Styela clava: one gene and its partners. The protein of the gene in region 2 interacts with the protein of the main gene of each other region in a pairwise test. Links are inferred from orthologs where the notes say so. Each region holds a gene or a part of one and is shown on either strand. Other genes may lie near its edges. The genes, in order: ras-related protein Rab-6A-like, protein bicaudal D homolog 1-like and clathrin heavy chain 1.

Region 1 (11,775 bases), about 1.8 Mb from region 2:
CTCGGTACAAATCAAAAAGCCTAATGGTTCTAAACCTAAGAGTAACCAAAATCGGTTATACCGAATGTTGAGAGGACTACTTTCAAGAGCATAGAAGAATCACCGTATACATCATTGATTGCTTATATAGTCTTTGCCAAATAATTCTGAAATAAACTTACTTGTGATGTCATAAACTACAACAGCTACCGTAGAATCTCTGATATAACTTGGAATTAAACTTCGAAATCTTTCTTGACCTGCCGTATCCCACAGTTGTAAACGTACCTAAATATTCAACGGTAGAAATAATATCAAATATGAGTCAGATGTATATTCTTAATAAACAAATTAAACACCACCAAAGATGAAAAGAAAACTTTCAATCTGGAAATTCGTCAGTTAAAAATCGGCATTATGTTTTGGAATTTTTGATGACCTTAAGCAGAGATTTTATGACTTAATTTTACTCATTGGAATGAAGAAATGGCTTTGGCTTAAAAGGTTTTGATATCTATGAAGAAAGCCCAGTATGGCCAGTAGAGTATTTCCAATACATTTGTCACAATCAATGATGAGCCAAAATGTTTACGGACAATTGCACTTCAATGGACAAAGTGGTAAAAACCTGCGGTTCCTAGTAAGATAAATTTTACTGCTCTGTAATTTTGCCCTTGCATGTGAATTAATTAAGTTATTTGAATCGGTATGGTGTTCACAAGCTGAAATTGATGAAAAATCTCACAAGATTCATCAAGTCATTCTGAGACTACCTGCGACCTGGCTCCCCTCCCTGGTTTAAGGCCAGAAGTGTGAACAGGATTTGCCGAAAGACATAAGCTAAATGTTTTCTGATTTGAACTAATTTGCTCAAATAATGCTTTTAAAGACCACTATTGCTTTTTAGAAATGAATCAACACATTTGCAATAATTATTGTGCAATAATAATCGTTAGTTCATTGGGCCACACTGGTGAATAACAAACAGAATGTAGAATATTAAAATTAATAATTCTAGAATAACAAAATAATCAAATACAGAATGTTGTAATGTCTGATAAAATGCCTCTGGGCATACAATAAGCGATAATAGAAATATGATTTCCAGGATAAAAAAATATTTGGGGATCAGGAGATGTAATTCTGAGTTTTGTAAGACAAAAAACTTAAAAAATGCGAAAGCGATAAAAAATTCAAGTCCGTCGGATTCAATAGTGATGACTCACTCGCTGGTGATTTTAGTAGCTAATCAATAAATGAGCCTACAAAGTTATAGATAAAAGAAGGCAGCATAAAAGTACCAATCAATAAATGGATTCTAGAATGTATCCTACCCCATTGGGGATATTCCCAATCAAATCAATATCATTGTTTGTTTTCATACTAAATAAGATAATTTAATATACTATACACTTCACTTTAATATACTTAGCTATAGCTAATATCATTTTTTACCTAGTTACAAAAATAAAGTAACCTGCAGTGTTTAAGAACTAAGAAGATTGATGGGTCCCGTAAAGTGCTTTATATGATCTAATATAGTGTTTTTTAAGAGGCTTGGGAATTTAGTCCAGTAAAACATGTATATGATCTAATACAGTGTTTCTCAACGTATGGGGCGCGACCCGAAATTTGGTCGCTTTGTTTTTCAACAAAATCAGCTTTACTAAAACCACGCCACGATTTCAAAAACTCGCTTACAGCAAAAAAGCTCAGCTTTATTACTTCGAGTAAATTTTCGGAAAAATGAATACTAGGTATGTATTGTTTATTTTTTTTTTCATATTAGTATATTAATTTCGTGAGCATAAAAGACATAAACATTACATACCGCCTAGTATTTGAGCATATTCTTGGGTAGCGGGATTTTACAAATTCATTTTTTTTTAAATATGGGTCGCTTGAAAAAAAGATCGGGAACCACTGTTCTAATATAACATATTTTATATGCTTTTGTCAAGTGTTGTTAAATGATTAAAAATCTTGCAATCTACAATGAGTGTAGAAATTTCCCACTTGCAATAATCCATCATTCTTCGGAAATGTTTGGACTTGTACATCGGTATGAATGATTAAGAAATAAGGCCATGAAATATAAATGAGGAAATGCTTTACACTGGTGTTTTCAAATATCGGTTGGTATGAGGTCATCGTCGATAAATACATCAAAGAACTGAATAAGGTTTTTATCGGAAAAAAGTTAACGTTGGTAAAAATATTATATTTGAAAAGTTACATATATGTATTATCAAATACTGAAATTGTGTAGCTAGGCCTATGTAATTGTCATGTTTTAAATTATTATGAATTTCCTATATATTGACATGTACGGCCTGATTCCCTATCAGAATAAAACCAAAATAGAAAAAAACAATGGCCATATCAATATGCATTTCAAGATAGTATCCACTTTTTTCAGATATTTGATTATAGACCAACCATCCAGACAGGCTCTATTAATAAATTAACAATTCTGAGTAATTATCCTATAAGTTTTAGATATCGTATATCCTTACATTTAAATTGTTCCAAAATGAGGTTTCTTGTTCTGAGGGGACGTCAAAAAAAGAAAATTGTGTCATAATTCATACAAGTCAACAAAGAGAGCAATAAGCATATGCTGCCACAATGTATTGACGTTCTTTGTTGCATGTGCATGAGACGGTTTTCACAGACTTTTGAATTATTCATAGCAAGTCCGTCTGGTAGGAATTTCTAGGCTATTAAGTTGACTGTGCATTCGTTCAATTACCGAGTCTAAAAACGCCCAGACAGATATCGAAATATTGAACATGACCTACGAACGTCTAGTCTATCTTTTCCTCTGGGAAGACAAAACGTCGAAAATACAATAAAGTCAATTTCCAGTTATTTGATTACATATTATCAGGCTCCATATTAAAACAAAAACACTCCATTTTTACTAACAGTATTTTCACCATTAGACTTCATTTTACCAAAGTTGAGAATAACCAAAACACAAACAATGTCAATTTATAAAAGGTAGGCAGAATTTTGTTCTTGTAATATTTGTCAAGAATGAGTAACACCGAGATATCACTGTATACGAATTCCTTTTCTTTCACAAATGTGATTATTACTGATATGGCAAGCTAAAATTTGTAACGAAGAAAATTCAAACCAACTACCAAACAACTTTTCAAAATAGGCATCTCTATTACATGGTTGGATTGGTTAGAGAAAATTTCTAATATTTATTTTAGGTATAGAGATAAGACTCATTTTAGGTATGTCTTTCATATGACCTGGAGAAAATCTAAAGTCACTAACAGGATTTTAGATATTATAACGGATGACAGTTGCTAGCTGTTCTGAGTTTGTATTGAAAACCACATTCCTAAAATTTGTGTATTTTTATATATCTATATCTTCTATATATACCAATCAATAAACACTTTGGTAATGTTACTTAGACGTAAAGCAACATCTTTCCTATACAAAAAATCTACCAGTTCAGGAAGACTGATGTGATTGATGGCACCATGTCTAGACTTGTATGTTTGAGTAAGATTTGAATCACCCTCATCCTTATTGCACAATAGGTATAATTTTTTTGTATGGCCGTTGATATTTATAACCTAATGTTATTCTGTGTAACAGCATGCTATATCTAAACAATTTGAGAACTTTAAATAGGCTGATTCTCCTTTTTTAATCTTCATTGGAATTATTTCAACAAAAAAGACCCTTCAATAAAAATATTTTGCCTAATTTACGATTCTAAATGCTGAATGTAGGTTCTTACCGTTCGGTCTTCCAAATACATTGTTTTTGAAAGAAAATCAATTCCTATTGTGGCCTGCAACAAAATAAGTTTTGAATTCAGACAAAAGTCAGAAGTGAAAGTGGTAAAAAAGACTACTGCGATCTCTACATAAAAATTGATTTTATTCAAGACAGCGGTCTTAGTGCCTAACATACATGCAAATCAGACAAAACAAAGATACAACGTGTATGAGCCAAACATTACAGGGAATTCCATTTTCATGTGACGGTTTGTTTTACTCGCTTTAGATTCCCATGGGTGAATTATGATTTAGACTTTGATGATCTACAATTATCCAGTATTAAAAAACAACACAGTTGTACAAAACATCTTTATTTAATTTATCAAGATAAAACTTGAGGAAGCCAAAAATTGAACCTATTTGAAGACAGACGTATAAAAAATTATGCCATGTCCAAAGCCTGCTACATTTTTTAATTTGTAGGCCAGTTGAAATACTGATCAATTTTTTGCGATTCTAGCAAATCAGATAGAAAGATGATGGGAGAGTGGGCCATACAGTATTGTTCTCATGCATGAAGCTAACAAATATTGTACCTTAGACTTGGTCAAGCAATGATGCCCATGAAAGCGTTAAAATAAAACACGAAAAGCAGCATAAGTTAACAGAAAAGAGTAACTAAATTGATATTGAAAATAAAATTTTAGCACTGTAGTGTTAACACACTAAGACCGCAAACAAATCAAGATTTACCACTATTTATCAGTTATTGGAGTAATGAGCAAAATCTTATTAGACTCCAGAAAGCAATCTGACAAAAAATATTGTTTGAAAATTCATAAAATATAATAATATTATTCACAATATGCTACAATTTCCAGAACCAATGGTGCTAGAAGATTTTCAGGCCTGATTATCATCATTTTATATTCAAGTTATTGTCAACTCCTTATGTGTAACGAAAATAAATCACGTGCTCAATACATTTTTTAAAACTGAAAATCTATTCAATAGTGAAGAAGTTCATTGCGAAAGTGAAGAGAAATCGTGAAAAGAATTTCCCTACTCATCGCCAATCCTCGATTTTCCTCATGAATATAATAATTTTTTTAAGAGAAAGTAAATCTTAAAAATGATGAATTCTGAATATTCAACTTTTGACATCCAATACAATAGAAAATGCATCTACTATCTTTTCAAAACTTTTTTCATAGGTATATCCCGCCATTAATGAATACTTTTTATAATAAAAAACTATTCAACAATTCGTCGAGGCAAAAATTTGAGGCATCTACTGTTAGTTATGATTGTTAACGCCCAAGTTGACAGTAAATGTTCATCATACTATCACCAGACTCACCACCCAGCACCATTGGTCTCAATCAGCTGAGATTACATTTATAAGAATTACCGGTACAATTTTTTTTTACAACAATAATCACCTGATACGTGTTATCAAAACTGTCATACATAAATCTTGTAATAAGCGATGTTTTCCCCACTGTAAAATTAATAATATAAGATTAGTATGCAAAATAACATTATTTTGTCATAATCCTAGTAATAATCCAAAAGAACTACCTAGCTTTAATTTAAACTTTTGCATAAAAAATAAACACAAATAAAGTACATCAAAGATAAAGGATATGATGAAAAGTTGAAAAAAACTACAAATCTAATAAATGAGAAAAAACGGGATTTCATTTTTAAGCCATAAATAATGAATATTCTTATTTAGTAGTAACACATTAATTAGAGTGATTTTATGACATTTTAAAAATATTTTATAATGTGACAAAACTCTTATCAGAAATAACACACTCACCACTTTGTTCACCCAGGAACACTAACTTAAATTTCCGTAACGGATTCCCAAAATCGCTCGTCATTTTAATATTAAATAGATAATAAACTTTAATTATATTAATAAGACTCTGTCATACGAAGAATTTAAAAGAATTTTATCGTGAATTTATCGGTATAAACATTTGAAGGTAACTTATAATTGTGCTATAGAAAATTCTCAAGTTTATACTATATTAAATAGTATGGTAGATTATTTGGCTTTGGCATCTATTGATGAAACAAATTCATTGCCCATAAGTTGCAGAATAATAAGTGGTTACCGGTGATTAGAATGACAATGTTATACTGAAAGTTGCAACTAGTTTCTATCAAATTTGCTGAAAGAACAACAATCAAGACAGATAATAGATTTGTGTAGCAACACATTTTATGTAATTTATATATAAAAGAATGCTTAGTATGTTCGTGAAGATAAATAAGAAGAAAACTGACAAAAGTGAATCCCAAATTAACGCTTGTCAAAAGACAACTGACAAACTTTAAACTTGACCGATTCAAAATGATCTTATCTGGGAAAAAGTGTTGAGAAAACGTGTTACAGCAGGAGGAATCAATTTCCAGTTTAGATAGAATGGGTAACAACCTCATTCTCATAACATCCTAACCAAGACTGGCAATAAAACGAGAGTTGATCTGCCCTATGATACATTGTAATATCGCAGTATTGTACATCTTTCACCAATAAATATGAAAATCCTATCCCTTTAATTAAAAGAGATACAAGCAATTGAGTAGCTTCCCCAGATTCTTGAGAACTTTCCACTTGAGGTTGACAAAAAATGAAGACGAGAAATCATGAAACTCAACACCCATAGTACAGTACAGCAGTAGTAATACAGAGTTTACAGGTCTACGGTGGTACCGATAAGTTACGGTACGTGTAATGTGTAGTCATATACCCATTACCCAGGTACACATACAAACCATACCAGAGCACATGTTCCTACTATTGACTATATATCATATTTGGTCTCACAAATTATCAATTTACAACGAAATAATTATCAAAAAGCACATGATTCACGTTCGAACAAAGTACAAAATCTGAATTCCAATGCATCCGTAGCCGCGATTACGTCACCACCTGGCGTAATTTTTGCTGATGCGAAAAGATTATGATGGCCGTCTCTCAAGCGTGACTATTTTTTTCAAGATTTTTCATCAGAAGTCGCAAAAAATTGCATTGGGTCAGTCCTTCTTGGTGGGGAACACAATTTAAATACATTTGCAATGCCATTTAGAAGTTAAACGCCAACGCACGATACAAGCGCACTTTGGTAATCTAGCTAACTCCATCAGTGTTCAGAATACAGTGGCATTTATTCGTTTTGTTGGTCTTCCTCTGGGCTAAAACGATACTACTAGTTATTGTGTTAATTGCAATGCGTTATACCAATGATATTAAGCAACATGATGCGCAACTCCGGCATTTTTAGCCGAAGATTGTATCCGATAGCACGCTCCAATGCACATACTTGACGAGACGAAAACGAGCGGATGTGTGCTGCTTTCAAGGCATAGCACGAATGGTGTTCGTGCCTGCTTTGACAGTTGTTTAATGTCGTTGGTTATATAGATGCGAATTCCCGTCCAACTGGTTTTTATAAAAGAATAGGCAGTTCAATGAATAACTACGATTATATTTTCTCTGTAAAAATGTACATAAAAATTCTAAATGTCGCAAAACTAAACAAGCAACAGATTTATGCAGATAAATATACATTAAATTAAAACTATTAATTGCAAGTACAAATGTGTTGGATGCATAAAAAGTATGCTTTGGCATCTAATGAAGCGAAGTTGAATAAATTCTTATACAAAAACATTTGTTAAAAACTAGAATAAAGCAATAATATTGGAACTTCAATACGAAAATATAACAATATCAAGAGAAACGACAGCAATCTATTTTTACTTTGGAAAAGGCCGAGTTTTTGAATAAAGACCAAAATAATTCTTGAAAAGATTAATTACTGTAAAATTCTATAAATTTGATACGCTTTTACAAAATTGTTTGGTTCTCCCATCAACATTAAATATTGTCATGGAATTTGATTTACAACTACAGTGGTGTCTGTCTTGGACTATTGCATTTGTTCATGTTCAAGTATCATTATTTATTTTTAAAGTAGGGACGCACTAAAGCATAATGCAAGCAACAGATGAGATGCTATGAGTTAAGCAACAAACTAAAATATAGGAGCCTCAATTGTCGTTGCTATTGTGCAATTTTATAACAAAACTGATATAAAGAAAACCCAACGGATTTTTTAAAATCCAAAATGTTGTGAACAATGTAAGAATGTGTCACCAACTACATATCTTGTGAAACACAGTCATCAAGGCAAATATGGTTAGATGTGGCACCTCCTTCACCAAACTAACTCTTTTATTTATGAGACGATGAAACACTCAAAATGTAATGATCCTCCTACAGTTATACAGTAAATCAATTATTAATATTGAATATCAAATTGACAACAAACAAAATAGCCAACACCATTGTGATGTCACTCATTCAAAGCTGTAGTTCTCTTTAATTCCAAGTTCAGCCAACGTCATTCCTGTTGTTCCAAAATAAACTGCTTTTCCAACTTTTGACTGCAGAATCTCTCCCACATGAGCCCTGCGACTCGGCAGTAATGATCTGTGTAATATAATTACAGTTGAATACGGATGAAAAATAAGTGATTTGAGACATTATGGTATATTCAATATATATATTCAGTGACTGACAAAAAGTAACATCTTTGAAGTTACTGATTCTGGAAGCTTTCGATAAAATTAAATTGGTAAAGATAAAATGTGCGGTTATGAATGTAGAAACGTCCGTTTCCAAAGTATAATATGTTTATTCAGCCATATTTGTCTTTTCCTACACTTTAGGCTGCACTTCATATAATATACAAAAAAAATTTGGCAGTGAATACAATGAATAATAACAATCAAAGATGATGTTATCATTTCACATAATCATTACATACTTTCCAGTTGAAGGCTGGAGAACACTTGTGGATCGTGATGAAGCAGTCTTCTTCCTTGGCTTTCCTTTCGTTTTACCAAATTTGAGATGACTTGAAGTAGTTCTACCAGATTTAGATCTTGGCATGAACTCCGTGTTAGTGACTATGTTTTTGGGTAATATTTTCATGCTGTTGCTTGTTGGGTCATTTTCAATTGCTTCTTTCAAAGTGTGAATTGTAAAATAAGAAGCAATTTCATTTGCAGATGGGGAGGACTGTTCTCTCTTATCTGAAAATAAAAGGGTGTAATGTGAAGACTGGAAAAAAAATATATTAATCAGTTTTCAAACAAGTTAACGACTCGAGGGTGTGGCGCATCGTGCTAAGCGTTAGGCGTATCACCGCACCTCTGTTTACCCTGCATTGGTTCGAATCCCATGCGGGATGGTTATGTGCAAGAGGATTGCTGGATTTCTCGGCGCTGTATGGTTAAGCCGCCTTATCGCCTTTCTTCCTCGGGATAAATATGTATATCCTATCCTAAACAACAAATCTATCAAGGATCGAAACTATATTATTAAGAAAAAAATTGCAACATGTCACATACTTTTTATACGAAGACATTCAGCCTTGTGTCGTTCTTCCCAGGCTTTTAGTTTACAGGATCTACTGCAATAATAAACTTCACGACATCTAGAACATGTTGTCAAACGCACACCAACAGATCGACCACATTCATAACAATAACGAAAAAGGGGTTTTCTGAAAAGGATTGAAATTGAATCAAGCATTGAATTTTACAAATTGGGTAGAAAGGGTCTATTCTCCTATGCCAAATATAAATCAGCCAACATTGTCTTTGTCCAAATTTTTCAATTCCTTTTTTACTCATTGCAAAAAATGAAAAAGTATTTCTGAATTATTGTAGATTCATTTAGAACCTTGTTGTTTTGTCATAACATGGATTGTGGGGAATGAGTATAATCAACCAATACTCAATTTGCAAAGAATTGTTGAAATTTCTATTTTCAAAAGTATTATAAAAAGTATGTTGTTTATCCTACGGTAATTAATCAGATAAAATTATTTAAAAAAAAAGATCGTATCCGCCCAATTGAAGAGATGTCCAAATGCCTCATTCCTATATATTGTAAAGTTTCAAATTTTATTGCACTAATGATCAACTACAGCCTGCGAATCGAATGAAAAATGACAACAAAGAACAGAGATACAATCTCACCTAATCGGACCTGAACCTGACCTTCCTTTAATTGATTTTTTTACAGGTTTAACTTGCTTATCTGGTTGAGAAAAAATGGTTGATGAAATCCTAAAAAAAACAGCAAATGTTAATAGACAGATCGAACAGCTAGAAATTAGGAACACACACACAATCCCAACACCAAATCCAATTCGTTTTCTACAGTTAAACATGAAATCACATCTTATTAATTGACAATGACAGATGAATAAGTTCCTATATTTTAATCATTGATAATTTTATAAATAAATAAACAAGTTGGACACAAAACAAATTTGAGTGAAAACTTGGGTTCAATGTGGTCAACATATCTATAGTATTCATTTGATCATTGCCAGAGCAGTATGAATTTCTTGAATTAGTGATATTGTCCAACTCTTGGAAATGTGTCAATCTTATGCTCAGCCGTAAACTAAAATTCAAAAAAACTAGTGGATAGTGATCAGAACTAGGAAAATCAGGCCTTCAGGTCTCTACGACCAAGTTATAGTTGACTTCTTCGACTAAGTGTAGTCAGATAGAATTTGAGAGATTTCACATATTTCTTGAATCCAAGACTCGAAAACAAAAATATTCTAATACCTTATTTAGCTTTGAATGAGACATGGTGTCTTGCTCTAGTGGTTATAAACTTTGAATACTGAGAACAAAGTTGCAAGTCCAAAATGAGACAAAAAAATTCCCTTCTCTTTTTTATATTTATGTACTTACTTTGAATCAGGTCTATCTTCAGGCGATATAGGAGTTGGGAAGCTCACATGGCTTGCTGAAACTGGATCTGTATGGTATTGTTGGGGGCTTGAAGGAAGGGCAGCTTCTGACTTGGCCCCAGCGCCAGTGTACAGAAAGCGTTCTTCTCGGCTCGGACTCAGACCTTGAGAAATTTGCATTTACATGGTAAAAGGTCAGAATAAAATATTACATTGTTAATGACACAAGATATAACAAACAAAATCTAAAGAAGACTGAAATATGTTCGACAATCATTACATACAGGTAAAAATGCAAGAATTTAAACAGCAATCTTCAATCGTCAATTGTATCCTGTGAAAAAGTTCCCAAATACTACACTCGACAATATTTTTAATAAGTACTAATTGTATATTCTGTACTACCATAGTGTTTGTGTTAGTCAAGTGAATATACCCCCTGCCTATAGGTTTCAGTCCCTTTACACACCTTGATATAAAGTAGGCAAACAAAACTAGTTACCTCCATATTGGTACACACACTTCTGAAGCACCTTTATTCCATATACTAACTGTAGTTCAGATATCTAACTGTCTTTACAACCTGACCTATGTATAATACAATTTTGGCAAAACCTGGTATATAAATATTGTTTCTAAATTCAATATAACTCCTCTCAGAATGTCTCGCTACTCACTCATCTTGTACTCGAAAGTCTAGATCAGAAACACTCTCCTCAACATCATCAGTTACTTTATATTTTTGCAACTTGAGCTTCATAGTATCCTGTTGATCTATGTCTTGCCATAATTTTTGTAAAATTACTTTCGCTAAATAACAAGAAACAACAAATTCAATCAAAGTAACCTATTATTTATTATGCTTCTGTCAATTTGAATACCAAAGTGAAGAAAGCAGACTAAATTATTGACTTGTCTACTCATAATGACGAGTTGCTCTCAAATTTTAAAAATCGGAATTAGTGGCTTTCAACCTGTTGGTAATAGCGCTGAGGACAGTTTTTCTGTGTCTCAAACATAGAATGATCAACGTCTTAAAGTAAAAATTTAAAGATGACCTGTTTTATACCATCTGCAATCTGTACAAAAGTATGCAATCTGTACAAAAGTATGCAATCTGTACAAAAGAACTAGCAGGTATTCATTTTTTCATCCTAATAATAAAGGACTGCAAACCACTTTTCTGAATCTGATCATCCAACCTATGGTAACTTCAAAATACAAATTGCTAAGATCATTATTTTGAC
Region 2 (11,402 bases):
CTATATAGTAAATCAATATCAATTTTAGAAGCTATTACAAAATTTTGACTTTTAAAAATACAAATATATATATATGATATATATTCATTTTATTTGTCTCAAAACGTAATGAGCATTTGTAAATTAACTATTTTTGTTTGCCTACTTTACATCAAGTTGTGTACAGGGACTGAAACCTATGGGCAGGGGGTATATTCACTTGACTAAAACAGACAGTCCCCGAACTCGTTATAGAACTAAAATAAGAAAAATTGGAATAAAATTATGGCCTAACCCTAACCTGGTACACACACTTCGAGAGTACCACAGAAAATATATATCACAGAGTCAAAAATGCAGGAATAAGCCATCATTATATTGGCAGTCTACGGTCTTTTATTTTTAAATCATTGTAGACCTAATAAAAACATTTACAGTACTGAGATGAACAATAAAACAATTGCTTGAGATGTGAATCCATAGTGGACAAGAACTCTAAGAACTAAAGACTAGTACTAAGAGTCAGTTATAACTTTTATAGTAAAGAATAAACACCTGTATTGTGGAAATCAGAGTTTCTTCTGTTTGTTCTTTTTGTTGTAATAATGTTTGTTCGCGAGTTTCGCCATCATGAAATACTCTTTTATTTTGATGTTGGCTGTTTTCAAGAGCCTAATAAAAAATAAATATCTATTCTATTGAATTATGAAGATCTATCATCATATTGTCAAATTTTCATTTAGCTGTTGACAATGTCAAAAGGATATCTGGTAAATTAGATACTTTGCCAGGGCCAAAACAAGAGAAACTCGATACGAATAAAATTAGAATATGACTAAGACCCCCATGGGATTAGAATATGACAAATAGTCCTTATTTCCCCCATAATGCAATTATTAATAGTTATAAGTTAGTAGTAGGCCTACTAGAAATATTTCATTCACCAGATACAGAGTTCCATATTTTCTACAGTATACTATGGCCACGGTGATTTGAAGTTTAAAATAACTGAATGAAGCTTTTAGATCAAATAGAATATTTTTAAAACAAGAAGTTAATATTTTTTAATCAAAATTATTTACAAAACTTCATTGCAATATATGATTTGTCCCCTTTTTACCCAATGTCATATTAAGCATTTAGGATAGAATAAGATTCCCATATTTATCCCAGGGGAGAGGAAATCTTGTGGGATTCGAACTTGTGAACCCACGCAGGGTAATCAGAGGTGCGGTAGCCTCTATTCCTAACACTTAGCATAATGCGCCACAACGCCATTTCATGAGAATTATTTAGAAACATTGGCAAGTTCAAAAATATGGATTTTAAAAGTTTATAGACTATCAAAAAATTATAAATAAACATTTGATTTGATTTAATAAATTTAGGGAAAAAGAAACGATGTATAGCTCAACTTCAGGAAATTGTTGATTTCAAATTACTTCAATACTCGGGTCACAGAGATCAAAATGTAATGGGGACTTGATACAAACTTAAATTTTGAGAGTAAGCTTAATTAAAAAATAGAATGCAGGACTTATTTATGCTACACAAATTTGCTGCACTTATATGCGACATAAATAAATACTGATTGAATGTTTTACATTCCTAAACTTCCAAATAAAAAATTCCATCATAAATACTGTCAAAAAGAAAGATACAGTATATCCTATATAAGTGAACCTGAAAATGCCTTCTGACAAACTTGAATGAATCTTTGAAGGTGTTACAAAAAGACTAAAAATGTCCCACTAGATAGTATACGGCCCAAACTAATAGTATAATTGAATTGCATTGATATATTCAATAGCGTTTAATACTACTTGATTAAAGGCATAAGTTGGAATTGGCTCAATCTGTAAGCTTCTGATTTTGATCAACAAAATTGACAACAAAATTAGGCCCATGTTATATTCAAAAATATTTGTAGAACAGACTTAAAATTTATATATATTCTTCATTTCATAATGTCAGAATTGGTATTGCAAAATAATTTCATAATGTAAAAATTGATAAAGCAAGTTCTAACAATGTTTCACTGCATAAAAACTATTTCTGAATTAAAAAAGTACAAAGCATAGTTTTAAAAACAGACAATTGATTCCTAACTCAAAAAGTTGAAAACGTAATTACTGTATTAGTATGTTTTTTCATTAATATAAAATTCAAAAGTAGTCTACTTATGATAGTTCATACCCGTTTGCTGAGTTCAAATTCATTCTTTGATGCATCAAGTTCTCTCTGAGTAGAATCTAACATAACCTCTAATTCATCGTATCTTTGTTGTAGTTTTTGCTTCTCATCGAGGACTTGTAATCCATATTCAGCCGCCTGAAATATTAAAAATAAGAATTCAAGCAAATAAAACTTAAAAATAAACAATACTCCAATACAGAGTTATCAATCTGTGGTTTCTTAATATGGCTTTATTTTAAAATATTACTTCACCGTAGTTATGTTCATATCTCAAGTTTTTATTTTGTGAATATTTGCTTCGCAAACCTTTAAAGTTCAATAAAGTTTTTTTTATCTGAAGCATATCTGATTAGGATTCGAAAACCATGGAGTAAGTGCAAGAGCCTAGCCCAGTATATCTTCACAGAAATGAACTAGTCAATTTTGAAAAAGCAGGATAGTGTGGCAATGGTAAACAGTACAATGTAAATACAGAAATGGAGTGTTGTGAAATTAAAATATTGTCAATGATATGTTAATAAAATCTGAAATTCTACGGTTATAGGGCTCCAGGAATGATGATGAGTTTATATATATTTCCTCGCAAAAAACATATACAAAACAAAAATAATGAACAACCACAAGATTGGGAAATCGGGGTAACTAGCAAAACCTGCAATAGGTTTAAAACACATAGTAATATTTGCGCCAGTTTGGCCGCATTGTACACACAAACATTTATTGAAAAAAAATATGAATAAACACGGTGGGTCACAATTCACGACTGTTTACTTTGAAGTGGATTGGACTGTGTTTGGGATTTGGGACACCAGCCACATTCGAAGCAAACCGACAATTTGATTGAGGTAAACAACTGCCAAGTAGTGTGTGAGGTGAAAACGGTGTCAGAGATAAAAGACTGTTTGTTTTATTGAATCAAATGTCGGGACATCTTCAGAACTTGGAATCGAAAAAATACTGGCAGTACGGCACACTATACAAATTGGGTGATATTGTCCCGTCCCAGAGAAACCCATTTTACAGATGATCAGACACCCCTCCTTTGGGAGACATCTGGACATTGTTGTCCCTCAATATCGGTAATAATACAGTGCAATAAAATTGCGCAAAATACTACAAAAAAATGCAATCTAATATCGTCATCATTGAATTTCTTGGAAAAAAATCAACCAATTTACCGAAATTTTTTTTACCGTATCATTCGAGAGTTTTTAGCAAAAAACGGCAATTTTGGTCATGTGACGGCCGCGATAAATTAAGATTATTATTGAGACAAGCATGGCGCGATATGAAGCATCTGACATGGTCCAGACGCCCCTCGTTTGTGAGATACATAGAGTGTTTGTTTTATCTAACCAAATGGAGGGAAATTCTTGGAATTTGGATAGTGTGCTGTACTGACTGGTGTAAGAGGTAGGTAATAGAGTTTAGTAAAAATGCCAGACCATTTATCGATACTTATTTCTTGGTGTGACAACTCGTCAGCATGATTCCTACAACAATGTCAAGTCATAGTTCGAAAGTGGTCTGTGATATTCGAATCATATTCTTCTGTTGTCCATCATTTCCACGTTTACCGTAGGATGTTAACTGTTTCTAATTTTTATATTTCATTTGTTTCCAAGTCTGCATATCCACTAACCATTAGATTAGAAATGTGGAATATGCAGATAGGCCTATGCGAATAATTTAAATACATATTCAAATTCTTGATCAAAAAACTAAATTATTCGGTTGGAATTGACTAATCAATAACGCAGGATGATGTAAAAATCCCGCAATTTTTTTTTCAATTCTTTGTACAGTTGCCAACAGTACAGCAGTACAGTTGATCAAACATAATACTGTACGGTAATCCCAGAATCAGATATAAAAATAAACCTACCTGAATTTTTTCTTGTTGTGCTTCTTCTAAATCATGTGTGAGTCTATCGATGATAAGTTGGACATCATCTGATAAATCCATGTTCTACTCGTTCATACAATACAGCAATATGCTACAAGAATAGCTGAGTACCGGTAGCATGTGCAGCTAAAACTGGGAAGCATTAATCCAGTAGCGGTACCGGTATTCGTTATTGAATTGTCTTGACTGGCGCAGTCGTCTTTCGAGAAGGCTAAAACCCAGTTGGATTGCGTGACGGTATCTCACATCTGAGAGGCATTTGCTGACAAATTTCGCGCTCAAAGGGGACAAAAATAGCGCCCAACTCGAACCCTATTTCCCAATAACACAGTAATACGGTAGTTTTCTTTGCAAAATCCCGTCTCCAAAAGATTCAGCGGCCAAAAGTATGAATCAAATTGATGATTTTGACGAGTCTGTAATAAGATATCCGGTTAAATCTGATTCAGTTAAAATTTCTTCGTTATGATGGAGACAGATCACAAAGGCTCGACTTGAATAATTAAATATAAGATTTGTTTTCAAAACATTATGAAGATTTATCGACTAACGCATTACCTATTTGTACTTTTATTTGAAAATGAGACGGCGAGGAGAACCACTAAAGTTGATACATTCACTGACTGCTCAAAACTGACTCGAATTTCAAAACACAGGAAGAGAGAGAGTTTAGGTTTAGGATTCACATATTTATCCCGGGCGGCGGAGGAAGCCGATTAGACGATTTAATCATCAGCGGCAAGGAGTCCATCAATTCTCTCGCATATAATTATCCCCCTCGAGATACCGCCATACCGCCGAGTATTCTTCGAGTATTTTTGCAACTGGGTTCTTGTATAAATATTGCAATTAAATCATTTTGTGTTTTGCCTTATCATCTTTAAGATATTCTGTCAGCTTATACTTTTTTCTTTAAAGTACATTAATTAAGCACAAGATATTTAAATATTTTAATTGTCTGTTAAATTTGCTTATTTTCCATTCAAAATAATTCTCACGTTCACTAGCACACTGCGTGTTTTTAACATCGGAGAACAGGCAGTGCGTGTTTAATATTCTGTTTTTGACGGTAATATTAGAACCTATGAAATTATACAATAGAAAATGTAGCAAGTCGTTTGGAAATATATCGCCAAATAATCTTTACAAAATGATGCAAATACTTTCAAGCTTTATGTTGTCCTGACCTATACAGACTGAATGGCTCAGAAAATGTGTACAATTTTCCTGTTTTTCGCTTTTATTCATGCCCAACACTATTATGTTGATGACGTGCATTACAATGCCTTTATTGTAGTCAGTTTCAGTCAAGATAAATAATTGTGCTATATCATGCCCGTGTTTTGAAATATAATTGCACAGGCATTTGTATGTTGAGTAGATTAGTTAATAGTAGGCTTACCATAAATCTGAAACAAAAAACCGGGACGGTGCGATTTGGCAAACATTCGGTCGATTGCCAGTCTTGATAATATTGGAACGTCTACCATGCCATTGCGGGTATATACGGCTGTAAATCTCTACTGATCATTGAATTAGAAAAAACACAAAAAATTAGTTTGTATTATTCATTTAGACCAAAAGTATTTGTCCGCAGATGGAACCTTTCTCAAAAATTCTTGTTTTGATTTTGTCATAAAACTGATAACAAGAGACATCACCATTAAATTTGCAGGTTACGGAGTGGTTTTATATTTTCTTCTGGCATTCTGCACCTGCTTTCGGACCAAAATTTTTTAACAATGGAAAATATCCTTTTAACAGATGTTCCGAAAAACAAAATCAACCAATTTGCTGCAAATTCGAAATGCTAATATTTCTGTTAAAAAAAACGTTAAACATCTCTGTCTACTTAATTTCAACCGGCAAAGTAAGTCAAATTGCATTTGAACCACGCTCAGATAAATATCTCTTTATCAGTATTCGTCGAAAAGTGCATCGCTATTCAAAACCTGATCAGCTAACCAATCATATCATTTATCAATTTTGCAGACCAAACACAAACAGTCCAGTTTATTTCACTCTTCAAATTTGTCCATATGTGTGGCCTGGCAGCATTGTAGGCTTCATCGTGCAGCTCTATATACGATAGACATTTCTTTTAAAAATCGCAAACATTCTTTTTAAATACAAATTTTTTCCCTGCAAATTTAGCTTCACCTCTGACAGAATATTTGCAACATCTACGGCAGGGGTCGGCAACCTTTTGTCGCCCGAGGGCCAAAATTAAGGGTTGCGAGTCATTGGCGGGCCGCACATATTTTTAGAAAGTTGAAACTGAACGGATGATACTTTTTATATTAAAAATCATGCAGTGATACATCTCTCGAATAGAATATAGATTTATTTCCTCATTGCATCTCAAAAAATTCCATTTGAATATTTTCAGCTTGAACCCTTTGCACTTAGCTTCAACTTTTCTGCGTTTTGTTGCCATTCGAGCTTGAAGTAAATCATCATTAAATTCAGAGGAGAACAGCGGAGCAATGCACCAACTCTCATTTATTTCTGGCTAAACGTGCAAAATCAGCGAATCCGCTTATCAGACAGCGGACATCAAAAATTCTAACTGTGTATATTTGTTAATGCAAATTTAGCCCCAAAAAAATTTGAAATTAATTTAGAGGTGCAGTCAAAACTTTGGTCATGAATAGCAGTGTGATAGGTAAATGTCGGCTGCCAACGACACAGAATCATCCTAATATTTGTTATCGCAAAATTGGTCAGTCGAGTCGATGCCTCAATGTTTTGTGCTTCCTGCTTTGGATATGATTGTTGACATCTGAATGTCCGCCATGACTAATAGAAAAACAAATCTGCAATGCGTACAGTGTACCTTTCCTCCTTTAGTTTGCTTCAAATAAGGAAAATCTTTCTTCAACTCATCAGAAAACTTGTACTTTCTTTTTGGCATTTCGACAACTTAACGACATTGCAGTTAACGCCAGAAAACGCATTAAAACATATGCTAATTGTGACATAACAATAGAGCGATTTCTCTCTCTGAACTAGCAAAGTGTGTCGCAAAACAGTGGTAAATGGGCTGTCACCGTTAAAAAAAAAATTTGTAATAATAATGAATTTGAATTTTTTACCCATGAAAACCGTGCTGACAAACCGGGACATTTGAGTCAACCGGCCGGGACAGCATGTCAAATCCGGGACTGTCCCGGCTAAACCGGGACGTATGGTAAGCCTAGTTAATAGTGGTAAATAACCAATCTTAAGGTTTTGTTTCTCGGTTTCAACTTTGTCATAAGTGTGCAAACAAACATGTCTGCTTATTCCAATAAGTTCGAATTTGAACTTCTTCTCAGTGTTTGCCAGTTTGCTATTTAGGTGTTTAGATTTGAACCATATTTATTTAATATTGTGTTTGTGTAGATTCTACACTACACTATATAGACTTTAGGGCACTCCCGAAGTATGTGCACCGAGATGGCGCACAACCTGAACCCTAACCTGGTAAACAAACTATGTTCAGGATGTGCGCCATCTTGGTGCAGTCAGATATTTTTGATCAGAGAATCATACATTGCTCAAAATAGGGATATTTTGAGATAAGTAAGCTGTAAAGAACTATGGTACAACCAAACACAACCTCTATAATCATTTCAAACCGAATAGGTTAAAAAGAATGAGAGAGAGAGATAATGATTTATATCATTAAAGTACACAGTGTGCTCTCACCTATCAAACTGAATCACCACTTCGAAGTAGCCTAGTTCAATCAGGCTTCGCGCAACGCTAAAAAAGGGGAAATCGCACAAATCGACCCAAGAAAAAAACTTTTTAAAGTTTGAACGCCACTGGCATCTGAACTCTCTTACACTGTATTTCCTATCCACATAAATAAATTCAATAATTCTGCTATCATCTGAGGTTATCCTAAAACTCTTCCGTTGCCATATAACTTACCCCAAATTCCCAACCAAACACTCGATATAAATAAAAATTCCTTTTTTTGCCAAAACGAAGTGCTATGAAAATGTGCATTAGTAGTTAGTACATCAAGTGCCAAAAACGATGACCCGTAATACTGACATAGATAAAACAAAAAGTTATAGGTTTTACTCTTCATAAAACAAAGTAATAGGTCAACCACATCAGACGAGATCAGTCTGGTTCGGCCTTTCCACAGCACGCCATTTTCGTAAGAAAACCTTTCTTTGGCTTCTTTGGGGAATCTTCGTCTCCTGGAAAAATATAAAACAAATGAAAGCATCTACCATGACGCTTGTCCCGCAAAATTAGTCGAAAAGTTACGTCTCGTCATTCTCAAACGTGCTTCTGTAACGTATTTTTATTACAGTAAACCAGTTCTATAGTTCAATGGACAATATTCATTTAAAAGTAACATGCTATTTGCATATTTTACTTCGCATATTATTGATGATAATACGTCATTTTGTGTGGAATTTGAGTCGATCAATAGAAATAATGGTCTCAATGAAGTGACATTTTGTAAAAAGTTATATTGAGCTCGTAAATATTAAACAAGGGTAATTTGTTGGTCCCGATAAAACTGAACTCATTATTCGTACAATTAGAATATCGGAAAAATTCAATCCAAAGGGATTTACCTATTTTTTCTTTTTTACTTGAAACTGATTGGTCGTCGCCATTTTGGAGATCAGGAGATGGTTTTTTATCCTTTCCATTTTTCTGTTCTTGTGTATCAGAATCTGGTTTTTGATCTTCGTTTTGTTGAGTTTGGGGTACTGGAGGAGCTTTGCTCTTTTTAGATTTTCTGAGATATTAATCAAAACTTTCATAAAACCAAATGCGAGATTCTGGCTATCCAATTGTTAGCAGAAAAAATAAATCTGGGTTTTATTTCTAAGAGGCATGGTTATTATCGCATTTACATATTAACTGGCTATGCTGTATATATATAAGCTTTGTATCAATTTTGTTCCTAGCAAAAGTAGCCTCTACCAGATCGCGTGAAATTATCCATGGGCGTATTTATTTATAATACGTTACGATTACCGCGAAAAATGTTTTAGCTCGACATAACAAAGGAAAATAGTCTGAATACTACACTTACTTCTTTTCCTTTTTGTCGCTCTTCTCCTGCTTCTTCGCCTCTTTCTTTTTCTTTTTTTCATCCTTTGTTTGTTTTTTGTCTTTTTTCTTACCAGGGTCTTGTTCTGTTAGTTGTTGACCCGCAGCATCGTTTGCCGTCAAGTCGGTATCTTTTCTCTCACCATCTGGCCTGTTTCCGTCACCAGGTTCCTCAATGATTTGAAGGTCAACTCGCATTTCTTCTTTCGGATTTTCTAATTTATCAAAAACGTCATCAGGCGATTCGTCGTCTATCGGTTTGGTGATTTTAATCGGTTCAATGGGATCTTCAACTGTTTGTTGATCTTGTGTCGGTTCCGTTGCTTGAACTTCGATTCCATCTTGCGTTTCTTCGCCGGTCATGCAAACACCCGTTTCCGCAAAAGTAGCAGTTGTCGCCTCGATAGCTCCATCATCTGGATTGCTGGGTTTGTCTTCAACTTCGCACAACTCTCCAATTGCCAATGCATTGAAGGCACGGATATGTTTTGTATCAGGCGCTTTGCTGGGAACAACTTCTTCTTCTGGCGCCCGATGCAACGTCGTATAATAACTGAGTTTGGTTGGCGTTAAGGGGTGAGCTTCAAAATGTGGATAACTAGATGTATCAAAGACAATTTCCTCTTGTTTATCTGGAGAACTTCCTTCTGCTACTCGCCAGGTCGTTACAACGCCCGGTTCGGATTTTCCAGTTGCTATGTCATTAAGAGGATCTTCACTTAAGTGAAAACAGTAATTTTTACCGTTGTTATTTTCCCAATACTCTTTTCCTTCCAATGAGCCCGATAATGCAAATTCAACGTTGACTGGCCTGAAATAAGAGATGGAAAATAATTTTCATAAACACAAAAGAATTTAGGCTGCATCGGTTAGGTGAAAGCAAAACTAAAGACTTACTATACTTGTGCATGAAGAAATTAAGCTAATATGTTGGAATACTATATTTAGTTATAACATCATAACATTGTAAATACGATTACGCTATCTTGACTGCTGATTTAGTTTTATAACATTTCTTTGATGTAGATTGTTCAGATTGACATGAGCTTTGAACTACTAGAACGACCTCATAAATTCTTAATCTTGATGTGACAAATCTATATGCATACACAACTATTATGTAGCTTCCATTAGATACATATATTTTATTGCTTGGTGTTGAGAGAGACATTTAAATGTTAAAATAAAAAGGCACATAAGTACCATGTGTTTTCAAAGTCAAACGAGAAAACTGACGACATTTTCATCTTTTTATAACAGATACTGCTTTATCACCCGATGGCGTTATAATCCATTTTTTCTAAATTTCCATTTCGCCTTCAGTGTTAATAAATACATATATAAACTTCCGACGAAACGTAAAAGGGTAGAAATGCCATTATCTTTGTCAAAAAAAAACACTGACATTAGTTTAGGTATTTGGATAATCGATATACTGTATATTGAAGTTATAACAGCTCGAGGTATATTATAGACATCACTGCATATAAAAATACAATGAGAACGAGAGAAAAACCGGCTAAAGGCAAGCTTAATACTACATGGCCCACCACAAAGCTACCAGCTTCAGAGCTATATATAGCCACACTACAGCCAGAAATATGCGACACTGCAACATATATGAACAACTTTTGTTGAGGTTTGGAGATTGATTGCCGAGAAAATCCACGAATCACATATAAGCGGCTGAACATAATAAGGATGTGTGTCGGATTACTTTTAGAACCCTAATTGAGCATACAAACCGGAACCAGAACTTTTATTTGGACTCGAAGAATGTTCAATGTTAAATTGATGCTATGAATTATGTAGTAATTGTCATAGCAACATGAGTCTGTTTTACAAAACAATAGTGGTATCGAAGCTAATAGGTTAAATATTTATCTGCATTTATATCAAATTTCATTCTTACGTTTTATCACGACGAGTGAATCCAAAGGCGAAGATGTCACCTGTACCGTCTGGACTACTTTCTATATATGATCCACTGTAGTCTCGAAATGAGGCCCAATTGTTGAATGTAACACGAGCAAATACGAATTTTTCAAATCCTACATTTGCTACACGGATCTTGCCAATGATAGCCATAACGTATTGTCCATGTCGCGACTCATCTTGAACGGTCAGTTCGACAAGTGAAAGCTTGTTTAGCTGTAAACGGCGTTCCTGCTCGTCTTCACCTACTTCGATGAGGGCTTTCCTATTCATTCTGTACGACCAAATTATAAGCGCTGTTGTGAAAAATTACCGAGAC
Region 3 (10,996 bases), on a different chromosome or scaffold from region 2:
CATTTGATGTAATGAGGTCCGTGATTTACTCCGTGAACACAAATCTTAGGATCGAATTGGCAATCAACCACCGATCGAAACTAGCAACCACCGTGATCAGTGCGGTATAACTTTAAATATCAATACACTCTGTCGAAATACCCATTGTTGTGCCACAATGGCGTCGGCGGATGGGACTTGTTAGCAGAAAGATGTTTTATGTCGTATAAATTGTGTGCGTAGAAATGGGAAAATGGCAAAAAATGTAACTTCGGAGTTCCGAAAGCTGAAACTATACCCCGCTAAGTTGAGCTATTCTATGAGTTGAAGTTTGAATATCTGCTGTGAAGTAAAGTTATTTTACATAGTTAATAGGCCGGATAATGGGAATACTTTATGATATACAAACGTTTAATTAAGATGACTTTCGTCGAACCCCAGGAACATTTCGATCGAACCCAGGTTAAGAAATACTGTTACAGCGCTGTAGGTGTCGCTTCTTGAAACCCTTTCGAAGTCTCTCGCGACTCCTGTCCTGTTGAAGTCAGCCTTTTTTGTTTTGTATTTGCCATATTTTTCATGATGTTTTGATATCTTGTTAACAAATAATTGATGCTAGATCGATTACACAAAGTCAGCGTGTAAAGTAGTTGCATAAATCAATTTCAAGCAAGAGAAGTATATAAAAAAAATTAAATATATGTAGGTTTATATATATCGTCAGACTAATAAAAAAATTGCCTAAGTCAAATTTTAACATTTTGAGTAAATCAAAAAAAACTTCATAACTTTCCCATTTTTCAATCTATTTCAAATTTTTTTTTATCTAGATTTATCTTATCAACTTTTTAATTATTTTAGGATATCTATAACTTCCAAATTCTATTCTATATGCGCTAAAATTGACTTAGGCATTTTTTTATTCCCGCACCCAGAGTTAGGCAATATTATTCACATCTTCGCCCTATATTTTCTCTGTACATTCGCTTGACCTATATACTTTGTAAAAGTCCATTCGGCAAATAATGAGAGAGTGACTTCCATTAAATTAATATGACACGAAAGCCAAGTCAAAAATTCGATATTCCTCCTAAATCATAATTTGGCTTTGATGAACATTAGAATAGATGTCAGCCCACAGGCCAGATGTATTGTATTCAATTGATACAAAGAATGTAAAATTTCACAACTCAAACAACAAACAATATAATAGAATTAAAACATAAATAACTTTTTTGAACCTAAAACATCAACATAAACAAACAACTGTAATCATGAATTTATAGTAGTATACTTCATTTAAGTTCGTATAATCCACTCGTGAGGAAGGTTGTCATAAAAATGATGACAGTCAATTGGCATAATTGATTTCATTTCTTGAAGATCATTAAATTTCCTTGCACAAACTGGAATACGAGATCTGAACATTGGCACCCATTGACTTTGAACATTCTGTACACGGTGTGGTAGCGCTTTCCAAATTGCTTTCTCAAACGAAAGCTTGTAACGAATACTATACCATCACTTTCGTACTTCAGGGCACGCAAATCATGCACTCTGGGATCTCCTACTCTTTTTCCGGGTCTAATACTTTGAAGGAACAATTGATTCATTATTTTGAAATCAGTGTGCCTCATTTGGCGAACATGATAGGGTGATGGATGGATTCTTGCGGATTCCATAAGTACGATCAAATCTCTTTCAGAAAAAATGTCGCCTACGATCTTTCGTTCAATGACGCTGTGCAATATTCCATTTGTGTATGTCCAGCCACCAAAAATTTTTGCTCTATATCTATGTTGTAAGTTCTTGCCAGACTAGAATATGCATTGGCTACCTGTGTTTAAATAACATAGAAAGATAGATATTTCCGCAACGAATCCAGCGATACCAAAATCGACAAATAGTGACTCAGGCAATTTTTTTTATTAGTGTGACGATATAGGATTCCCAGTTATATATTATTGTATTACTTGAATTATTTTAACAGTATTAATATTTTTTTCACATTCTCCTACTGTGCTTCCATTTCAAATCCTCTTTCTAGATATATATATATATATATATTATTGTTCTTTCGGTTAAAATTCGGCTATAAATTACTAACTTGTTTATTTCCATAACAATCAAAGACCAATAAGCACGTAACAAATGCAATTTGTGCATCCGTTCAGACAGATATTCAATCAGAGATGTTAACATTGCCTCGATTTCGTGGTTTTGCGTGTTATTAGACAGTTTTCAGTTGTGTTTCCAAAAATTAGTAGTGGGCGACGCGACGCACAAGTGCGTCGTTTCAATTTAGCTGTATGGCCGCAATTAAGACGAATCGATCTAGTGTAAAATGTTGAAAGAAAAATGCGTGCGGATCTTTCACAATGCACCACAAGATTCAATGGCATTTATATAAAAGAAGGAAACACACTCATACCCTAAATTAAATGCGATTTCAATAACTTTCGTTACGTTTTGTCATTGCCAAAGAGGTCTTTTATTAATTAAATTGTATTAGTCGTTTTTCACGGGGAATCGCAACTTGAGCATGTTTTATGGAAGAGCGTCGCAATACAAATAAGTTTGAGAACCACTGGACTAGAGATATTACATGAACCGCCATCATGAAAGCTGATTGTAGAATTGATTGAGAGCAATGTGATATCATTGTCAAACAAAAATGGAGTTCTGGCATTGATTTCATCGACTAAGGTAGCTACTCCCAAAGAATTCAAGGGAATATGAAATTGATAAATAGTACTCACCATCAGTTTTTGTTCACACTGCGATACCACACGACTAGCTACCACTATCGACTAGAATCAATTCCGATGCACTGGAATCGATTCTCGATTGGATTGCAAACTATGTTGAGTAGCTACGACGCCGCAAACTTCACTATATATATATATATTTTGCTAGGAGTGTTTTACGTTTATTTATTTCTAAATTATCTGTGGGTTCTGAGGGATTCGATATCATATGGTATTGCCTATAGGTTTTCTCGGTAACATGTCGTGGAATCGAAGGAGAATCGAATACTTGTAAGTAGTAGTGCTTAGCACCCTTGGACTCATAAAACATAGCTATCTTTAAAAGCATTATTGGCAGGTCAGATAGGGTAAGGTGGGCCACGGGGCACAGTGGAAAATCAGCTCTCACACTCATACTATATACGGAATCAGGCCTGCGGTGCGATGTTTGAATCGCTCTTCCGTGATTTACAACGTCCCCGCAAACGGACAACGGCCGTGTAGAGCGACGCAAGTTATGGGATGAAATTGGTTTTGTTTGATCCATTAAGTGCTTATACGCCTAGAGATGCGTTATTTTTTGTGTAATATTATGGTGCCATTTGTCCTATGGCCCTATATGAAATATATATATATTCTAGATTCAAAAATATTTTTCAGATACAGATTCGAAAAAGTAAATAATTTGCTTTTGGCCGGAATTAGAATTTTTACTTGTTAATATATAAATGGTGATTTTATTTTCAAAATTACAGCATCGTTCTTTTTTTTTTGAAGGTGCCCCAGGGCCTGTCCGAATGTGCCCCACGAGTGTGGTACAGTGGGACACTTGACAGACGTTTTTTGGAGCATTTTAGTCAAAAGATGTGTATTGCTAGGGAATTTTTTAGTCGATGAATAAATACTACATTTACCCCTATCTACATTAGCCCCGCAAACTGAAATGAATGTGCAGAATATAGGGCTCGAAATAGGCAAAAGAAAAAAAGTGTCCCAACCTACCCCACTCTCTCCTACAACACACTAATCTTGTAAAGTCAGAAAGTGGAACAATAACACAGAAATAGAGCAGTTTTGGGCTCAAGTTAAGGATTTTAAAAATGCCGCTTGATTTGGGAGGGGATTTCATTTTCAGATCTCTTTGAATGTACTAAGCAAGCAATGTTACTACCTTGTCGCTCTGAAGCAACTGTAGCGACATTTTTATTACATTTAATAACTACATATTCAGATATATTTTTTGAATGTTTCATTTTTCAATCTAGATGCTTTTAGATGTTTTTTTAGGTCAAACTAGATGTTTTTAGTCAGGCAAAAGTGGCAGCCCTGATGTTTATGTGGTCTTCTGACGCACCAGGAATCCGGCGCTTCCGCATAGGACCGCCACCCTCCCTCTTCTACGTGACCCCCTTAGTATTATCGCAGGTTGTTTGTGAATTAACCGTCCGAATATTGGGCGAACAATATTATCTTCACTGACATCGGAATGCGGGTATTCATGAAAACAATGGTTGACTTATAGTTACTTAAATACTTTTTATCGTGTCTGTATTATCTCCTCAATTTTGTTCTTTCTGTATGTTAGCAAGAGCCCCTGAGCAAATTCTCCCAGAATTCAAGACGTCGTTTTCAGCAAAGTGGCGTAGGTCTCGGGGTACCGGATATTTTGATAGTAAGATAACAGTACAAAATGTTAAGAGAATGACACGCTTTTTTTCTCCAAGATAGGTCGAGACCCGAATGTCATCATAAATCAATTCACATAAATGCATCATGTATCAGCACGCGCGCACAGTATGCCTACTGCAGTATTACCAGAAGAAAGCATAATGATCACCGCATTAACAATCTGGCCAACTGCATCTAAAAATTTCTTACCACATTACAACTGTGCAGGGTAATTTAAAATAATAGTTTTCATTTCAATCGAAACTTGTGATCGAGTGGGTATTGGTAATGAAGGAGTAAGGAGCTATTTCAAAACCACACGCGAGTTTGACATGTGCTTATCTTCTTCTCGCTCTCATTCCTCCCTGGGACTCAAAGTGTCAAGGTAGGAAAAATCCATTTCTTTCCCGTCTTTCCACTTGGTGGTATGTGGTATATATACACCGATCATACGGCGGTACCTTAGTTTGTATGTTTTTGTATGTATGTTTGTTATGTATTTGATGCAAACAAGCAAAATGTGTAACAGGAACAATAAAATAAATACGTCTGATTAATTCACCAAGAAAATCTACCAGCTTCTATATTCATAAAATAAACGCAATGAAATAGATGCGAAACACAAACGAAAAAGGAGACTCACACTCAACGGCTGAGGCTGATTTTTCTGACTTCCGTGGTCACGAGACCGTGATGTCAAATGTTATGACTCACCAAACAGCGCCACCAACTTAACCTTACTTACTTTCAGGTTTCGTTTTTCGTTACATTTTTGTGCTCTCAATGATGGCAGTCAGAAAATATTGATTGAAACATAATGAATGAAGACGGTATTATTCTTGTGATACAAATGCAACATCTTGCTGTAAATCGCATTTTTCATCTGCCATATTGATTAGGATTTTTTCCATACTTGTGTGACGTCACCAAAAGCGCCGGTTCGAGAAGGAATTTTGCCTCGGGTGTAGTGCCAGAAAATGTGTCTTGCGTGTTGTTCAGGGGCTGTAATGGGATGATTTTTTCAATAGTATACAGTACAGGTACGCCGTACCCTTGTTCATATTTTTCACTTATCATTAACTGAGGTACTAAATCGCGTAGTTGGGATTATAGACTAATGTCTAAATGCAGGAATGTCTGCGAGATAGTCGCACCAATGTTCATCTATTTTTAAATATAATTTTTAATGAGAATACCTGATCTTGTCCATCTTTTTTAAACTATTGCTGTATTGGGTTACTAATTCCCAAACAGATCTTCTTCCATAACAATATTTGTGCATTTTGTGTGACAATTATTTCTGTATTTTCACTTTGCTCAACCTAATGCAGTAGGGCACAGTTCTCCAATTCCAAGATGTCCCGACATTTGGTTCAATAAAACAAACACTTGATTTGCTTCTTAAACGATGGCATTCGTATGGTCACATCGCATGATGCTTGTTTCCATATTAATTCAAATCTATCGTGACATGCATTGGCTGTTGTGTAACCAAAATAGCTTTTTTTTACTACAAATTCCACAGATAAATTATTTCCCTTTGATAAATCCAATGGTGACGTTTGTAGATTGTACTTCTTTTCGTTTATTGTGTGTTGTCGGTTTGCCGATAAGAAGGCCCAGACTTTTTAATATGGGGGATTTTCCCGAAATTGGAGAACTGTGCTGTACTGTCATGCACAGTTTTTGGAGAATAAAATTGAATTCAGTTATGCTTGTATTTAAAAAGGGAGTTAATATGTCAAGTGGTATCATGGCACTGTAGTCATAGCCTCACAATTTAGATGACTTGATTCAAAATATTACATGAATAAACCACTCACAATTCAATTTGTATAAAAAAGAAAATTTTTAATTCATCCAGGTGTTTGATAAAGTTTTTTGATAATCAGAATATTATTAGTTGGTTAGTTTTTGTGAATTCTGGATTCTTGTGAGCAAGATGGCGCAGCTTTTGCCAATCAAATTTCAAGAGCATCTGCAGGTGTGTAACTGTTATTACAATTGAAATTTTATTGTCTAAATTATCAGCTTCTATATGGAAGTAAGCACTAACTTCACTTGAGTGTTGTAACATCCACCAAAATTATTGTAAACTCTGCTGTATTGTGTTTAGGAGATAAAATTTTGTCCTTTTAAAGCTAGTAAAGGCTTATGAATGACTACTTTTATTTTTTTCAGCTCCAAAATGTTGGCATCAATGCAGCTAACATTGGTTTTTCCACTCTCACCATGGAGTCTGATAAGTATATTTGTGTAAGAGAGAAAGTTGGTGAACAAGCTCAAGTTGTTATCATCGATTTAGCTGACTCTGCTAATCCGATTCGTAGACCGATATCTGCTGATTCAGCAATTATGAATCCAGCTAGCAAAGTTATCGCCCTTAAAGGTATAGTATAATCAGAAAACTTGATATTCAATTTTATTATTCAGTTTAGTGTAAATTTTTTTTAAGTCTGTTCCTGTTATCTTAAAACCAATCTTAATTTTCAGCTGGTCGTATGCTCCAAATTTTCAATATTGAAATGAAGTCAAAAATGAAAGCTCATAACATGACAGAAGACGTTGTTTTCTGGAAATGGATTTCCACCAACATGGTAGCACTTGTCACAGAGGGCGCTGTCTATCATTGGAGTATGGAAGGTACAAGCTTCATGCATCTCATTATGGGCAATATTGAATTATGAATTATTTATTAATAAATGCCTATATATGTTTCTGAATGACAGGTGATTCGCAACCTACGAAAATGTTTGATCGTCATGCTTCGCTTGCTAGTTGTCAAATCATCAATTATAGGTAAAGTTACTGTTCTGACTGTATTCATACCACAATATAATTCATTTTTTACAATTACTGGTTACCTCTCTATTCAAAAACCGATGTGTACTCTCTTACGGCTATTTGTGACTTTTTTGAAAGGTATAAAAATGTTATTCAGCAAAAACATCCATATTGGTGACTGTTTTCTTGGGTTTTCGAATTCTATAAAAAAGATTTTTAAACTTGTAAACTATTATTCAATAGATACGTAGTTACAATAATAAAATTTATAATTAATTTGTTATGTTAGGACTGACTCTAAACAAAAATGGCTTCTTCTGATTGGGATTTCTGCTCATGCGAACCGGGTAATTGGTGCCTCTCAGTTGTATTCTGTCGAACGAAGAGTGAGTCAGCCTATCGAGGCTCATGCGGCAACTTTTGCGGACTATCAGCTAGAAGGAAACAAGGTAACACTTATCTAGAGCGAGTTTGTCGATCAAGTTTAAAAGATTATTTAAAGTTTTAATATTTTTGCTTGTCATAGTTCAAATATAATTGTATTTTGAACAGTGCCGAGTATCACACAATGGATTGTTGTATCATTATGCGTGGTTGAACATAGCAGATTAAATTGCAGTGTGACCAGTCAATAGTAATAAACAGCTCCATTATTATTAACAATGATTTCAGCACTATTTATACTTTGTATTTGTACTGAAATCTGAAAGATATTTATTTAAATATTGTTATGTAGTAATTATCATGAATTATGGGATTTTGATAAATTTTTCTGCTGTAGTGGTAGGAGAAAATCTTCACCAAGTTAAAATTGTGACTTTATCAAAGATGAACTGATCTATATTTAATATCATTCAAGGTAGTTTACTCTCTGTATAATAATTCAAATGCGATCAGTTTTTTCTTTATCTTAAAAGCTTATTTACCACATTTTGAAAAACGACTTAGCCGTTTGTTAATAAAGTTCTTTCCATGTTAGGAGCCATCAACCCTGTTTTGTTTTGCGATTCGAACCCCGCAAGGTGGCAAGTTGCATACTATTGAAGTTGGAAGTGCCCCTGCTGGTAATCAACCATTCCCAAAGAAGGCAGTGGATGTGTTCTTCCCACCCGAAGCTCCTAATGATTTTCCAGTCGCCATGCAGGTTTGTATGATCTAAGAGTATTTCAAGTAACCAACTGGAAAGATGTTTATTTAGGTTTAATAATACTAAGCTATGGCTGCTAGTTGGTTAAGCATCAAGTACATTCTTCACTCATCTTCTAATGCATTCCAATTTGCCAGTACAAAGTTTTAAACTGTAAAGATCAATAGCCTAATAATCTTGTGAATTTGTCATCTTACTGAGTGATTGGAAATATTGCTTCATCCATTTATAAATTTGTCGAGGTGACTGAATTTCACCAAGTCAACATATGTTTTATTAACTTACTAACTTTCATTTAATCAATATTTCTTACTACTTCAGAACATTTATTGATTTTTAGTGATTTTTTGCTATCTATCTCACAAGTGCACTTGTCACTTGCAGAATATTGGTTTCTGGTCAGCTGCTTCATTCACAAATTAATGAGATATTGATCTTATGCGCTGGTTGCTTCACAACTGAAGCTATTTGTATCCTGTTCAATAGAATGGCTGCTAAAGCTATTTATTGATTTACCAAACCTTAGTGTTAGAGCTATATGACTTTTACTAACATATATAATTATATTCTCACGGATAAGGTAATATATAATTAAAACCTGTTATTATCTAAAGTGATTAATTGATAAAAAAGTGCTAATTTTAATATTGAATTAAAAATGGAGCTAGCTCTCATTTCTATTTCAGTTACGTGTTTTAAACATTAATAGAGATTGGCAACGAAATTAAAAGCAATGTTTTTGGCTCATATCATAACTTGCCATTGATGCTGGGATATCATCATTATTGTCTGATTTGTTGAAGTTACATGATTTGTTATCATGGTTTATCTCATGTATATATATACATACAGCATTAAAGTTGTTCAAAATTATCTACACAGCAAAATTTTATTAAACGACTAGGCTATTTAAATTCAGACCCCCTTTGACTCTAAATACATCGGTGAGCAAAATAAGACCGAACCTCGCAACATAGGTGAGCAAAATAAGGCCGAACCTCGCAACATACTGCAGCAGCATACAACACAACGAATGTTTAGTTTTGTTCCAACTTCATCAAATAATTAATTGGGTATCCCCAGCTGGAGCGGTTAGATCAGAAAACATATTCTTCCTTACTGAAACTACCGTAACAAGATATGGCCGTATTGTAAAAATATGTTAGTAGTCCTATTTTGATTCCTTTATTCTCATTTTCTATACATTTACACAATTCCATTATAGGTTTTTGAAAGTGCAATGTAACCTTATTAACAATAAATATATAGTTAGAATAGTGTGTAATGGTTAAATTATTCCTAGATATTTAAATTATAACTACGATGATTTATCATCCAGCAGTTGGTTGAAGGAATTGTTTAGTATCTGTACCCAATTTGTGGAAACTTATTCAATCAGAATTTTCAATCTTAGAATTTCTATCATTCTCTTAAAAGTTTGATTGGAAATAATATTTCCTAGGGCTCAGATGTACTTCTTTATCATATCACATGATGTATCAAAAGTTTGTTTAATTTTGTTGCCACTAAGTTTTTGAAGCTTCTTGTGCCTGATTTTATACCAAGCATTGAATTACAGCATTCTCCAAAGCACAATGTTCTCTACCTTGTCACCAAGTATGGTTATATTCATCTGTATGATCTTGAAACGGCTGTTTGCATTTTCATGAATCGAATAAGTGCTGACACAATCTTCGTAACTGCTCCTCATGATGCCTCAAGTGGAATCATAGGCGTTAATAGAAAAGGACAGGTAATAAAATTGATGCTAGTTTATGAGAAAGTAATTTACACTCATTTGACCCAAGAAAAGTTGCAATGCTGTGTTGAAACAACGAAGAATTACTTTATAAAATTTGCTTTGATAGATTTTAACTCCCAAAGACCTAAAGTTAGAACCTTAGTAAGCATTATAGGAATCAAATAATATAATTTGAAAATCATCTCTTTTTTCTGTGGACCGCAGGAAGAAATTTAATTCATATTTCATGATAGAGTTGATTTTTCAATTTTCATAGATACCGGTAGGTCTTCATATAGATGCGTAACATATTCGGTCTAATTACGTATTTGTTAATGTGTGAAATGACTGAAATTTTTTATTTGTCAATTATTTCATACAAAATTGTTTATTATAAATACTGTTTATGATTAGATCAATTTGGATCAATTTATATTCCACCTCCTTAGGTATTAACAGTATCAGTGGATGATCAGAATGTGGTTCCTTACATCACCAATACCTTGAAAAACCCGGATCTCGCACTTCGATTCGCTGTGCGCAACAATTTAGCTGGAGCAGAAGAACTTTTCTCTAGGAAATTCAACACTTTATTTGCTCAAGGAAATTACAGTGAAGCAGCGAAGGTAGCTGCCAATGCACCAAAGGTAATAAACTGAAATTCAGTAGTAGGCCAGCTATACAATCCTTTGTGATCATTGGTTATGTTGAAATTATACCATGTTAAATCACATATGTTAGGACTGCAGAATATGGAGTTGGAAACAAAAATATTCTAGTACATCATGGTTACTAGAACATTGCGTTGTATGTTTTTGTTCAAATCATGCGGGGGATGTTTGTGTAATTAAGAGGAGTCATAACATATAAATGTGCGTTGTTACAGAAATGTCTGTGCTTTTGGCGTTTTTAATGAAATTTTACTTGAAA

Evidence for each region.
Region 1: the proteins of protein bicaudal D homolog 1-like (region 2) and ras-related protein Rab-6A-like interact in a two-hybrid assay, tested with the Drosophila melanogaster proteins (3 studies listed by BioGRID). The link is inferred for Styela clava from reciprocal best matches to the Drosophila melanogaster genes BicD and Rab6.
Region 3: the proteins of protein bicaudal D homolog 1-like (region 2) and clathrin heavy chain 1 interact in binary tests that used the Drosophila melanogaster proteins (3 or more experiments, as listed by UniProt). The link is inferred for Styela clava from reciprocal best matches to the Drosophila melanogaster genes BicD and Chc.

The regions. Positions count from the first base shown.
Region 1 is NC_135256.1:11,594,402-11,606,176, forward strand, and holds the start of ras-related protein Rab-6A-like, read right to left. Parts: upstream 5,676-11,775; 5' UTR 5,618-5,675; coding exon 5,554-5,617; intron 5,230-5,553; coding exon 5,171-5,229; intron 3,800-5,170; coding exon 3,746-3,799; intron 268-3,745; coding exon 162-267; intron 1-161. Other genes in the region: ankyrin repeat and MYND domain-containing protein 1-like, read right to left, coding at 8,109-8,241, 8,579-8,846, 9,165-9,319, 9,798-9,887, 10,530-10,692. UniProt on the Drosophila melanogaster protein: Protein transport. Regulator of membrane traffic from the Golgi apparatus towards the endoplasmic reticulum (ER). Mediates membrane trafficking during egg chamber growth and organization, possibly upstream of exocyst component Sec5.
Region 2 is NC_135256.1:9,840,760-9,852,161, forward strand, and holds the start of protein bicaudal D homolog 1-like, read right to left. Parts: upstream 4,570-11,402; 5' UTR 4,142-4,569; coding exon 4,061-4,141; intron 2,311-4,060; coding exon 2,176-2,310; intron 652-2,175; coding exon 535-651; intron 1-534. Other genes in the region: uncharacterized protein LOC120328503, read right to left, coding at 8,198-8,277, 8,665-8,831, 9,132-9,959, 11,061-11,356. UniProt on the Drosophila melanogaster protein: This protein is essential for differentiation. It may play a role in localizing of Nanos (a maternal determinant) activity in oocytes. Functions redundantly with BicDR.
Region 3 is NC_135252.1:330,476-341,471, reverse strand, and holds the start of clathrin heavy chain 1, read left to right. Parts: upstream 1-6,224; 5' UTR 6,225-6,336; coding exon 6,337-6,378; intron 6,379-6,575; coding exon 6,576-6,783; intron 6,784-6,887; coding exon 6,888-7,037; intron 7,038-7,123; coding exon 7,124-7,193; intron 7,194-7,467; coding exon 7,468-7,627; intron 7,628-8,157; coding exon 8,158-8,322; intron 8,323-9,904; coding exon 9,905-10,078; intron 10,079-10,515; coding exon 10,516-10,713; intron 10,714-10,996. UniProt on the Drosophila melanogaster protein: Clathrin is the major protein of the polyhedral coat of coated pits and vesicles.